Macaca fascicularis: one gene and its partners. The protein of the gene in region 1 binds, or shares a complex with, the protein of each later gene. Links are inferred from orthologs where the notes say so. Each region holds a gene or a part of one and is shown in the gene's direction. Other genes may lie near its edges. The genes, in order: WWC1, DDN and LATS1.

What was found.
Region 2: the proteins of WWC1 (region 1) and DDN are in contact, whole or in part, in a crystal structure (PDB 6J69), measured with the Mus musculus proteins. The link is inferred for Macaca fascicularis from reciprocal best matches to the Homo sapiens genes WWC1 and DDN. Residues at the interface, in NP_740749.1 of Mus musculus: Glu13, Glu14, Ala15, Arg16, Asp17, Tyr23, Ile25, Asp26, His27, Arg30, Thr31, Thr32, Ser33, Trp34; in NP_001013763.1 of Mus musculus: Tyr227, Val228, Ala229, Pro230, Pro231, Ser232, Tyr233, His237, Arg238, Thr239.
Region 3: the proteins of WWC1 (region 1) and LATS1 are in contact, whole or in part, in a crystal structure (PDB 6J68), measured with the Mus musculus proteins. The link is inferred for Macaca fascicularis from reciprocal best matches to the Homo sapiens genes WWC1 and LATS1. Residues at the interface, in NP_740749.1 of Mus musculus: Asp17, Tyr23, Ile25, Asp26, His27, Arg30, Thr31, Thr32, Ser33, Trp34, Asp64, Val67, Tyr70, Ile72, Asp73, His74, Lys77, Thr78, Thr79, Gln80, Ile81; in NP_034820.1 of Mus musculus: Ala546, Glu547, Ala548, Pro549, Ser550, Tyr551, Gly553, Pro554, Pro555, Pro556, Pro557, Tyr558, Leu562, Leu563.

Annotation. Positions count from the first base shown.
Region 1 is NC_088380.1:175,154,454-175,158,098, forward strand, and holds part of WWC1 (protein KIBRA), read left to right. Parts: intron 1-699; coding exon 700-942; intron 943-3,645. UniProt on the Homo sapiens protein: Regulator of the Hippo signaling pathway, also known as the Salvador-Warts-Hippo (SWH) pathway.
Region 2 is NC_088385.1:55,812,376-55,816,450, reverse strand, and holds the start of DDN (dendrin), read left to right. Parts: upstream 1-1,227; 5' UTR 1,228-1,315; coding exon 1,316-1,524; intron 1,525-1,912; exon of another isoform or gene 1,913-1,936; coding exon 1,937-3,866; 3' UTR 3,867-4,075. UniProt on the Homo sapiens protein: Promotes apoptosis of kidney glomerular podocytes. Podocytes are highly specialized cells essential to the ultrafiltration of blood, resulting in the extraction of urine and the retention of protein.
Region 3 is NC_088378.1:57,699,227-57,702,871, reverse strand, and holds part of LATS1 (serine/threonine-protein kinase LATS1), read left to right. Parts: intron 1-2,013; 5' UTR 2,014-2,015; coding exon 2,016-2,142; intron 2,143-3,645. UniProt on the Homo sapiens protein: Negative regulator of YAP1 in the Hippo signaling pathway that plays a pivotal role in organ size control and tumor suppression by restricting proliferation and promoting apoptosis.

The DNA of each region.
Region 1 (3,645 bases):
AGGACTCCAACTCCAGGCCTTTGACCCCAAATCCACAGTTGTTCACACAGTGCCACTACCTCTCTCTGACTTGAGAATACGTGGTCAGTAGTTGTAGTCTTAGTGGTCCAGAACTGCCAGTGACTCAGTACTTGCTATGTGCCAGGCACCCTTCCCACTCATTCTGATGAATGAGTTTTTCTCACCTTTATAGCCTAGGGAATTGGCCCAATGTTACGTACCTAATAAGTGATCACGCCAGGTCATAACAACAGTAGCGAGGACTTACTATGTGCCAAGTACAGTGCTTTGCAGGTTACAGATTATATCATAAAACCTTCAACCAAAATGGCATGAGGAAAGGGCTTCTGTTATTCCCTTCAGAGAGCTGAGCAACTTGCCCAAGGCCACACAGCCAGTGGTAAGAGGTTAGTGCCTGGTGATGAATTCACATCTCTATTGTACCAGGAACAGGGCTAAGGACATTGCCTTGTTCATGTCTGCACCCCATCCCTGCAAAGCCTAATTCCTTGTTGGCACATGGTAGGCACCCACATGTGTTTATTTAGAAAAAAAAAATAGGTTCCTTGAGACGACATGCTGATCAAAGGAAGACAGTAACTGTCAAAGATTGCTCTGAGATGTCTGTTTCCTTGTGGCATCTCCTGTTCCCGCAGTGCCATTAGGCACACCAGTCATGCTTGCTTTCTTGGCCCCCAGGATCGCCAACCTGAAGATCCAGCTGGCCAAGCTTGACAGTGAGGCCTGGCCTGGGGTGCTGGACTCAGAGAGGGACCGGCTGATCCTCATCAACGAGAAAGAGGAGCTGCTGAAGGAGATGCGCTTCATCAGCCCCCGCAAGTGGACGCAGGGGGAGGTGGAGCAGCTGGAGATGGCCCGGAAGCGGCTGGAAAAGGACCTGCAAGCAGCCCGGGACACCCAGAGCAAGGCGCTGACGGAGAGGTGGGGCTGGGGTCCCAGGGTGTGTAGGACCCTTCTCTCACTGGCAGTCTGTCCTCAGCCCCCAGATGGCGGAAGGATGAGGGGGCTCCAGGCCCCTGGGCTCCACCCTGAGCATGCTCAGTTCAGAGATCTCTCAGATTGCTGACATAGGAAATCAGGAAAGATGATTCATCATCCAGTGCACCAGCTACCCTGGTCCTTTGCATGGTGAACCATGCTACCAAAAAGTCTGCTTAGGTGCAGGATTTCAAAAATGTATCTTCTGACTCAATTAAGCCACATAACTATATAATTTAAAGCAGTCATTTTCCATTTTTTTTGACAGTGATGCACATTTTATACTGTGACCTGACACAAGGTTCACAAAATAGTGTATGCTCTTTCTACCTGTGATGGTCCTCTGATGTTTTCTCTCTTCTACCTGTGATGGTCCTCTGATGTTTTCTCTCTTCTATTGCATTTTGTTTCATGCAGTTCATGACTCACCAAATTGATTTCACCCCATGCTAAGTAAGGGGTTGCAGTTTGCAGTTTGAAAAACACTGGTCTGGGTGGGGGTTGCAAACTGGCATGCTTATAGGAGCCAAGCAGGTCACAGAAATGCTGGAGACCCACCTGGCAGTGGTCTGTGTCAGACCAGAGTGCACAGACCCCACTGGTCTAGAGCAGGTGCTGTCTGTCTCCTGCAGCAAATGGGAGTACAGGCCTCGGGCTGCCAGAGCTGCCTGTACTTCAAACAAAAGAGTTGTTTGGATTTTTTATTTTTAAATATTGGGAACTAATCCAGAAGTTTTTTTCAAAAAATGCAAATCAGCCTCATCTATAGGCCTGATATAACCTAAAAGCCACTGGTTTATATTCTCTAATTTAGACCTTATCATAGACATTGTCTTTGTTTATTTCCTTCAGTGTTCCCACCAACCTCCACACCCACACTGCACCGAATGCAACACTGTGTTCACCATAGGCTTTACGCTCTCCAGCTTCAAGTTCATTCATTCATTCTGTTCAACAGCCAATGTTTACTCATTCATTTGAGAAACGCTTTGCTGCAAGGATTGTGTGTGCAAGGCAATTTGGGGGATTCAGAAATTAACAAGACATGGTCCCTGCCCCATGACCTTTAAATCTATTATACTTATTTTCACCATGTTTTTCGCAGGAGCCTTTATTCAGCAAGGTCCCTGCCCCTAAGGAGCTTAGAAGTGAAGCTGGTGATTTTCAAGTGTGTGTGTGTGGTGTGTGTTTGGAATATGAGCAAGGGAATTCCTTCTTCTAGTGAAATCAGAGGAAGAAGCCCGGCTTATGAAGCAAGTAAACGTGCCTAGTGCCTCAGTTGAAGCAGTCGGGAGTCCTAGAGAGGCCTGTCTGTGGTCACTCTGTCACTCCACCATGGGTCTTCCAGGGAGCCTTCGAGCTCTAAGGTGCCCAGCCTGCAGTACCATCCTAGCAATTGAGTGAGCCCCACTTGCACATGGCATGGTGCCAGGTGGATCAGGTTCACCAAGTTCTCGCCCAGCTTCCCATGGCTTCAGAGATTCTCTTGACTCGTTGATGGCGAGAATCTCTCCCCACTAGTTGCTTAGTCAGAACTGCTAGCAGTAATGTCCAAAGGGTATCCATTTCCTCTCTTCCGTTCTTCATTGGCAGCAGCAGCTGATTAGCCCTGACCCACCACCCATTGGTGGGAGAAGGAGAAGGACAGAGCTTGAATAATTGGTGTTCTGCAGTCCTTGGAAGCACCTTGCTAGAAGTCTTCTTTAGCACCACGACTCCATTATGCTTTCTCTGGGATTTTGTGCTTTGGGGATAAGGCCTGTGTCTGTAACATGCCTGTAGTGTTCGTTGAAAGAATAAATGGTTAGCTGGCCCAGGCAGATCCTTACTAGGCTTCTGTGTATATATCCTGGTCTTTATACCCATTCCCTGGGTTGCTCACTTGCTCCCAGACCCTATAACTGCCACTGGGAAGCCCTTAGCTATTCATAGTCCCCACAGCCAGCAGCTGAAGAGAACAGACTCATGGCAGCTTCACTCCTTGTTGGGGCAAAAGGAACACGCTTCTCACTTGCTGATCTTGAGCAAGTCATTGACCAATTTGGGTTTCACTTGCCTAATAGGGAAAAAACAGGATGCATTAAGTCCTCACTTAACATTTGTTAGTAGGTTCTTGGAAAACTGTGACTTTGAGCAAAACGACATACAATGAAACCAATTTTTTTCCATCAACTTTATGTTTTATTTCTATTTTTTTCGAGATGGAGTCTTGCCCTGTCACCTAGGCTGGAGTGCCGTGGCATGATCTCGGCTTACTGCAACTTCCGCCTTCTGAGTTCAAGCAATTCTTCTGCCTCAGCCTCCCGAGTAGCTGGGATTACAAGTGTGCGCCACCACACCCGGCTAATTTTTGTATTTTAGTAGAAATGGGGTTTCACCATGTTGGACAGGCTGATCTCAAACTCCTGACCTCAGGTGATCCACCTGCCTCAGCCTCCCAAAGTGCTGAGGTTACAGGCGTGACCCACTGCAGCCAGCTCCATCAGCTTTATTAAAAAATGACGTTATTTGAGAACTTGATGTGCATCATTTTGCTTAAAGTTGCAGTTAGCAAGAACCTATCTACAATGTTGAGGATTTACTGTAATTACATTAAATACATATATGGTCTGAAGGCAGTTAGACCACGCTCTTCCCTTCTGTAAA
Region 2 (4,075 bases), on another chromosome or scaffold:
CCCCTCCACTGAGGCTGCTGCCATGGTTGCCAGGCATGGTTGCTAAGTCTCTGCATGGAAGGGTTGGCGTGGGCTGTGCTGCCACTAACATTACCATGGTGAATCAGGGGACACCTGGTATAAGCTTAGGAGGAGGGATCATGTGGATGTAAGCAACAGCCCCCCAGGACAGAGGCAGCCCAAAGGTGAGCATCTGGAGCACCACTTCAGGTGGGGGCTGAGTGAACTAGGCAATTGTGGTGGTGAGGGGGAGCTCTACATTGGAAAAAAAAAAAAGGCCACTTTTATCATTTCAGTTGCTAGGGGATTAGTTTTGCCAAGCAAACACACCATCTCTCCTCCATCCCCCTCTGGAAGGGTGAGAGTGCATAAGCACTTACTCTGTCCTCCATAAAGCTGGGCAGGCTGTGTGGGCACAGAACAATATAACCCCCAAATCCTGCTTCTAAATTGGAGGTGAAAGCCTGCTGCTGTGGGAGGGCTCCCTGGCTGCCCAAGGACAAACATGTAGAATGGGACTGGTAGGGCAGCTTGGGTGGCCAAGGCACACGCCTGTGTCCTGCTGTACCAGCAGTCCTAGGCTGCAGCACTGAGCTGGCGAGGAGATACGGGTGTAGGGGTCACCCTTTTTGAGCTTAGGGAAGGCAGCTCTCCCTCAGAGTCGCACAAAGCTTGGTGAAAGCCACCGCCTCCTCTCTCCACCGCATGGAAGCTGGTTACTCATCTCATCTCTGCACCCGAACAGCCACTGCCGCTAAAAATAGCCCCCCAGCCGTGGGCCAGCCCCTCCTGCGCCCCAACCCCATGGAAACCAGCAGAGTGGCAGGCAGAGACCTTGAGTTCCATTCTCACGCACTCTATGTTGGGGAAACTGAAATCTGAGGCAGGAAGCCAGGGGCAGAACCCTGGTGGTCAGGCAACCTGACAAGCAGGAGAGTAAAGGGTTAAAACGGCAGGAAGGTTGAAGAAACAGGGACGGGGGAGGGGGCACTGTCAGCTTGGCAAGAATCATAAGTCCCTCCCCCGCCCACTCGTGCGATCCCATCAGGCTTGGGGGACAACAGCAGTGGGAAGGGGCGTCCAATCCCGGGCCCCAGGGGGCGGCCGTGCACATGGGGGAGGTAGCAGCGCGGAGCAGTCCGCGCGGTGTCACATGCGCGCGCACACACAGAGACAGGCACACACACGTGTGCCCGGGTATATATAGTTCCCAGTCCCCGGGCCCGCGGCTCTGCAGTGGGCGCCGGCTCCCTGGGCTGGGAGGGGGCTCCTGGGGCGGGTGGGAGGGTGGGGGGCCGGGGTGGGGTGGGGCAGGATGCTGGATGGCCCACTGTTCTCCGAGGGGCCTGACAGCCCCCGGGAGCTCCAGGATGAGGAGTCTGGCAGCTGCCTCTGGGTGCAGAAGTCCAAGCTATTGGTGATAGAAGTGAAGACTATTTCCTGTCATTATAGTCGCCGCGCCCCTTCTCGACAGCCCATGGACTTCCAGGCCAGCCACTGGGCTCGCGGGTTCCAGAACCGCACGTGAGTGAAGCAGGGGTGAGGGGAAGAGAGTGGTGGGGCGGGGAGTGGGGTCCGGACCACCCCGCAGGCACCAGCGAGCACTACTGATCCCCCTTCTCTTTCCCACGCCTCCCACCCCTGCCCGCTCCCGAAGGCTGGGGCCTGTCTCATCCGGTTGTTTGGGGGAACAGGAATGGGTGTGAGAAAGGGCAGGAGGTGAGATGGGGCAGACGCTGTTAAAGTGTGCAGGCAGAGATGGCGAGGAGTCCCGCTTCGACTTCAGTCCTAACATATACGCACGTGCACACGCGCACACACTCACACACACCCCTTCACATGGCTGCCCCAAGTGGTCTCCACTGCTCCCAGCTCCCCGGACCTCGGCTCCCTTCCCCCACAGACTGCTCACCTGGGTTCCTGCTCATTGTCCCAGGTGTGGGCCGCGCCCGGGATCCCCACAGCCGCCGCCCCGCCGGCCCTGGGCCTCCAGGGTGCTGCAGGAGGCGACCAACTGGCGGGCGGGGCCCCTGGCCGAGGTCCGAGCTCGGGAGCAAGAGAAAAGGAAAGCGGCGTCGCAGGAGCGGGAGGCCAAGGAGACCGAGCGAAAAAGGCGGAAGGCTGGTGGGGCCCGACGAAGCCCCCCGGGTCGGCCCCGCCCGGAGCCCCGCAACGCCCCTCGGGCAGCCCAGCCGGCAGGGCTCCCTGCTACCTTGCGGCCGGAGCGCCTGGCGCTGGTGGGGCGAGCGCCCCGTCCATCCGCGCAGCCGCAGAGCGACCCAGGGTCGGCGTGGGCGGGGCCCTGGGGAGGTCGGCGGCCGGGGCCCCCAAGCTACGAGGCTCACCTGCTGCTGAGAGGTTCTGTCGGGACCGCCCCGCGACGCCGCTGGGACCGGCCGCCACCCTACGTGGCTCCACCTTCTTACGAAGGCCCCCATAGGACCTTGGGGACTAAGAGAGGCCCCGGACACTCCCAGGTGCCCACTTCATCAGCCCCACCTCCGACTCCGGCCAGGACAGAGGGAGGGCGCACAAAGAAGAGGCTGGATCCTCGGATCTACCGGGACGTCCTCGGGGCTTGGGGTCTCCGACAGGGGCAAGGTCTCTTGGGGGGATCCCCAGGCTGTGGAGCGGCCAGAGCAAGGCCAGAGCCCGGCAAGGGGGTCGTGGAGAAAAGCCTGGGGCTGGCTGCTGCTGACTTGAACAGTGGTAGCGACAGCCATCCCCAAGCCAAAGCTACAGGGAGCGCAGGCACCGAGACAACTCCTGCGGGGTCTGCAACTGCGGCTCCCAGTGCCCCGCGTCCCGCTCCCAGATCCAGGCACCACCTCAAGGGCTCGAGGGAAGGGAAAGAAGGAAAAGAACAGATCTGGTTCCCTAAATGCTGGATTCCCTCCCCTAAAAAGCAGCCGCCCCGCCATAGCCAGACACTCCCCAGACCCTGGGCTCCCGGAGGCACCGGATGGAGAGAATCCCAGGGTCTTGCAGAGGGGGCAGGACCGGAGACCCTGGAGGGTTGGAAGGCGACCCGCCGTGCCCACACCTTGCCCCGCAGTTCCCAGGGCCCGTCCCGTGGGGAAGGAGTCTTTGTCATTGACGCCACGTGCGTGGTGATACGATCCCAATATGTTCCAACCCCCCGAACCCAGCAGGTGCAGCTTTTGCCCTCTGGGGTGACACGCGTGGTGGGGGAATCCGCCAGCCAATCGAAGCCCGGCAAGGAGGAGAGTGAAGGGGCCACGGTCTTTCCTTCCCCTTGCCGAAAGCGGCTGTCGAACAGTCGCCTTTTACACCAGCCCGGCGGGGGCCGCGGGGGCGAAGCTGAGGGCGGGAGGTCGGGGGACTCCTCACTGGAGGAGCGCACCTCCCGCATCTTGGGGCTCCCGGCCCCGGAAGTAAACCTGCGGGACGCCCCCACGCAGCCAGGTAGCCCAGAGCACCAAGCCTTAGGCCCAGGAGCTTCGGGAGCCCAGGGCAGGGCCGAGGGCTCGGAAGTGGCGGTGGTCCAGCGGCGCGCGGGCCGGGGCTGGGCGCGGACCCCAGGGCCCTACGCCGGGGCCCTGCGAGAAGCCGTGTCCCGTATCCGCCGCCACACCGCCCCTGACTCGGACACGGACGAAGCTGAGGAGCTTAGCGTCCATAGCGGCTCCTCTGATGGAAGCGACACAGAAGCCCCAGGCGCCTCCTGGCGGAATGAGAGGACCCTGCCCGGGGTTGGAAACAGTTCGTCGGAGGAAGATGGGAAGACAGCGGAACTGAGCGACAGTGTCGGAGAGATCCTAGATGTCATAAGCCAAACCGAGGAGGTCCTCTTCGGGGTGAGGGACATCAGGGGGACTCAACAGGGAAATAAGAAGAGGCAGTGAGAGGCCCCTTCTTGTATTTGAGTCCCCAACACATCCATCCTTGGGTCCACTGGTCCCCATTCTTCCTCAGACTTCCTTTGCTTCTCTTTTCCTTGTATCCTTACCCATACCTATTCCCATCCTTGAAATATAAATGAAAGGAAGGGAAGCATATGCCCATTAATGATTTTGTTTCAGGAGAGGTGAGAATCAGCAGTAGATTTAATTAA
Region 3 (3,645 bases), on another chromosome or scaffold:
AGGTATTTATTTATTTATTTATTTATTTATTTTTTGAGACGGAGTCTCTCTCTGCCGCCCAGGCTGGAGTACGGTGGCCGGATCTCAGCTCACTGCTAGCTTCGCCTCCCGGGTTTACGCCATTCTCCTGCCTCAGCCTCCCGATTAGCTGGGACTACAGGCGCCCGCCACCTCGCCCGGCTAGTTTTTTGTATTTTTAGTAGAGACAGGGTTTCACCGTGTTAGCAAGGATGGTCTCGATCTCCTGACCTCGTGATCCGCCCGTCTCAGCCTCCCAAAGTGCTGGGATTACAGGCTTGAGCAACCGCTCCCGGCCAATATCAAGGTATTTAAAGGAATGAGGTTGAACTATCATATTTTCTCAGTTCTGAAATGCCACTAACTCTAAGATGAGCCGTCTATTTAGTAGCAATTTTTTAGCGGGCAGAAAGTAAACATAAAGATTTTATTAATAATCAGTAGCATACATTTATTCGTTCAATTGTATACCATTTTCATCACAATAAAGTTTGAGTCTCAGCCTTATTCACATTCAGAATCTAGGATTCTTCTGAATTACTTTGGGTAGTTAATGCAACATCATGATAACAGGCTGCTTTTCATAATGCTAGTTAATTATCTTAACCTATGTTGTCTTTATGATTGTGTGTATAATTTTAAGGTATAATGAAGAATACTGGGATGTTGCTTTCCTTTTTGCTTAGTTTTTTTTTTTTCTTCTAATTAAACAGCTTCCTCTGAAGATAACTGTAAAAGTTTTGACAGATTTTGAGTCTCTTACCTTTGAAAATTCTGTGATCTTGCTTGAATTTAATAATTATGGCTTTAATTGCATTGTCTATTGAATGACAGTTTGAGTGCACAATACTATATCACAATGGAACCTTTTCAAAACATTTTGTGGGCCAGGCATGGTGTAATCCCAGTATTTTGGGAAGCTGAGGCAGGAGGAACACTTGAATTCAGGAGTTTGACACCAGCCTGGGCAACCTAGCAAGCTCTCCATCTCTATTTACAAAAGTAATAATAGCCAGGCGAGTAGCTCGTGTTTGTAATCCCAGCACTTTGGGAGGCTGAGATGGATGGATCACATGAAGTCAGGAGCTCAAGACCAACCTGGCCAACATGGCGCACCCCTGTCTCTACTAAAAATACAAAAATTAGCTGTGTGTGGTGGTGGGTACTTGTAGTCCCAGCTACTCTGGAGGCTGAGGCATGAGAATCACTTGAACTTGGGAAGCAGAGGTTGCAGTGAGCCAGCATATGGCACTACACTCCAGCCTGGGCAACAGAGTGAGACTCATGCCTATAATCCCAACACTTTGGGAGGTTGAGGCAGGTGGATCACCTGAGGTCAGGAGTTCAAGACTACCCTGGCCAACATGATGAAACCCTGTCTCTACTAAAAATACAAAAAGTAGCCACACATGATGGCACATGCCTGTAATTCCAGCTACTTGAGAGGCTAAGGCAGGAGAATCGCTTGAACCCGGGAGGCAGAGGTTGCAGTGAACTGAGATTGCGCCATTGCACTCCAACCTGGACAACAAGAGAGAAACTGCTTCTCAAAAACAAACAAACAAACAAAAACAAAACAGAAAAAAAGAAAAAACATTTTGAGCATCATATATGGTGCCGCCAATGAAAATATTACAATTGGCCGGGTATGGTGGCTCATGCCTGTAATCGCAGCACTTTGGGAGGCCAAGGCAGGTGAATCACCTGAGGTCAGGTGTTTGAGACCAGCCTGGGCAACATGGTGAAACCCCATCTCTACTAAAAGTACTAAAAATTAGCCGGGTGTGGTGGTGGATGCCTGTAATCCCAGCTACTTGGGAAGCTGAGGCAGGAGAATTGCTTGAACCTGGGAGGCAGAGGTTGCAGTGAGCCGAGATGGTGCCATTGCACTCCATCCTGGGCAACAGAGCGAGACTCTGTCTCAAGAAAACAAAAAAAGAAAATAATACAATTGAGGTAACAAAGATTTCGGCTTTTATTTTATGGTTAAGTTAGGCATGTGCAATGACTGCTACTCTAGAACTTCTCTGCTTTGGAGGGGAGATTCGACCTTGATTTATTTGGAAGGAACTCTCAGCCATTGTTTTAATTATCATCCCTGGCCATCTGTGAAGTGTGTGTTGGGTGAGTATTCTCTCTTTGGAAGGTACAAATCTTTCTCAACTAGCTTATTGCTCATAGAAGTTGGGGGCCCAAGGGTTGATCTTAAGATGTACTCTATTTATTATTATTATTTTTTTCTGGGACAGAGTTTTGCTCTGACTCCAGCCCAGGCTGGAGTGTAGTGGCAAAAATCACGGCTCACTACAGCCTTGACCTCCTGGGCTCTATTGATCCTCTCACCTCAATTGATCCTCCCACCTCAGTCTCTCCAGTAGCTGGGACTGCAGGTGCACACCAACATACTTGGCTGATTTTTTCTATTTTTTGTAGAGATAGGGTCTCACTTTGTTGCCCAGGCTAGTCTCAAACACCTGGGCTCAAGAGATCCGCCCACTTCAGCCTCCAAAAGTTTTGGGATTACAGGCATGAGCCACTGCACCTGGCCCTAAATTTTAGAAATATTAAAATGTAGAAAAGCATGCTTAGAATCAAACAAACGTGACACTGGCTGGGCATGGTGGCTCACGCCTGTAATCCCAGCACTTTGGGACGCCGAGATGGGAGGATCACTTGAGGCCAGGAGTTTGAGACCAGCCTCGTCAACATAGCGAGACCCTCGTCTCTATTAAAAAAAAAGAGAGAGAGAATAAAAGATAAAATGTGGCTGGGCGCAGTGGCTCACACCTGTAGTCCCAGCACTTTGGGAGGCCAACAAGGGCGGTCTCCTGAAGTCAGGAGTCTGAGACCAGCCTGACCAGCATGGAGAAACTCTGTCTCTACTAAAAATAGAAAATTAACTGGGTATACTGGCACATGCCTGTAATCCCAGCTACTTGGGAGGCTGAGGCAGGAGATTTGCTTGAACCTGGGAGGCGAAGGTTGCGGTGAGCCATCACACCATTGCACTCCAGCCTGGGTGACAAGAGCGAAACTCCGTCTCAAAATAAATAAATAAATAAATGACACCTATTACTGTGGAAAGATGTTCATGGTATTATGTTATTCCTTTGCCAACAAATTGGGCCCTGATTAGTGATAGAGGCAAGATTCTTGGGTCCTATGGTCCACATGCCCAGTAATCTCTTAATCGGGTCCAGATATGATGAAGTAATGTGTCCTGTGTGCTGCGTGTGTGCGTACTCTGTCTGTCTGTCACTCACTGTATCTGTTTCTCTCTATCTCCCTTCCTTTTCTCTTCCCCTCACTCACTCACCGCAGTACACAAGGGCCACAGTAAAGCACTCTTCCTAGAAAAAGAGAATAATGGAAGATAAGCAGCAAATGCTGATCTATAATCTGAAATCTCCTAGTCAGATTCTGTGTAAGCAACCAGCCGTGGAGGTAGGGGAGATTGGACCTTGATTTATTTGGAAGGAACTCTCTCATCCATTGTTTTAATTATCCTTGGCCACCTGCGAAGTTTGTGTTGTACCTTCCCTTTGGAACATACAGATCTTTCTCAGCTAGCTTATTGCTCATAGAAGTTGGGGGCCCAAAAGTTTTAAATTTTGAACAGACGAAAAG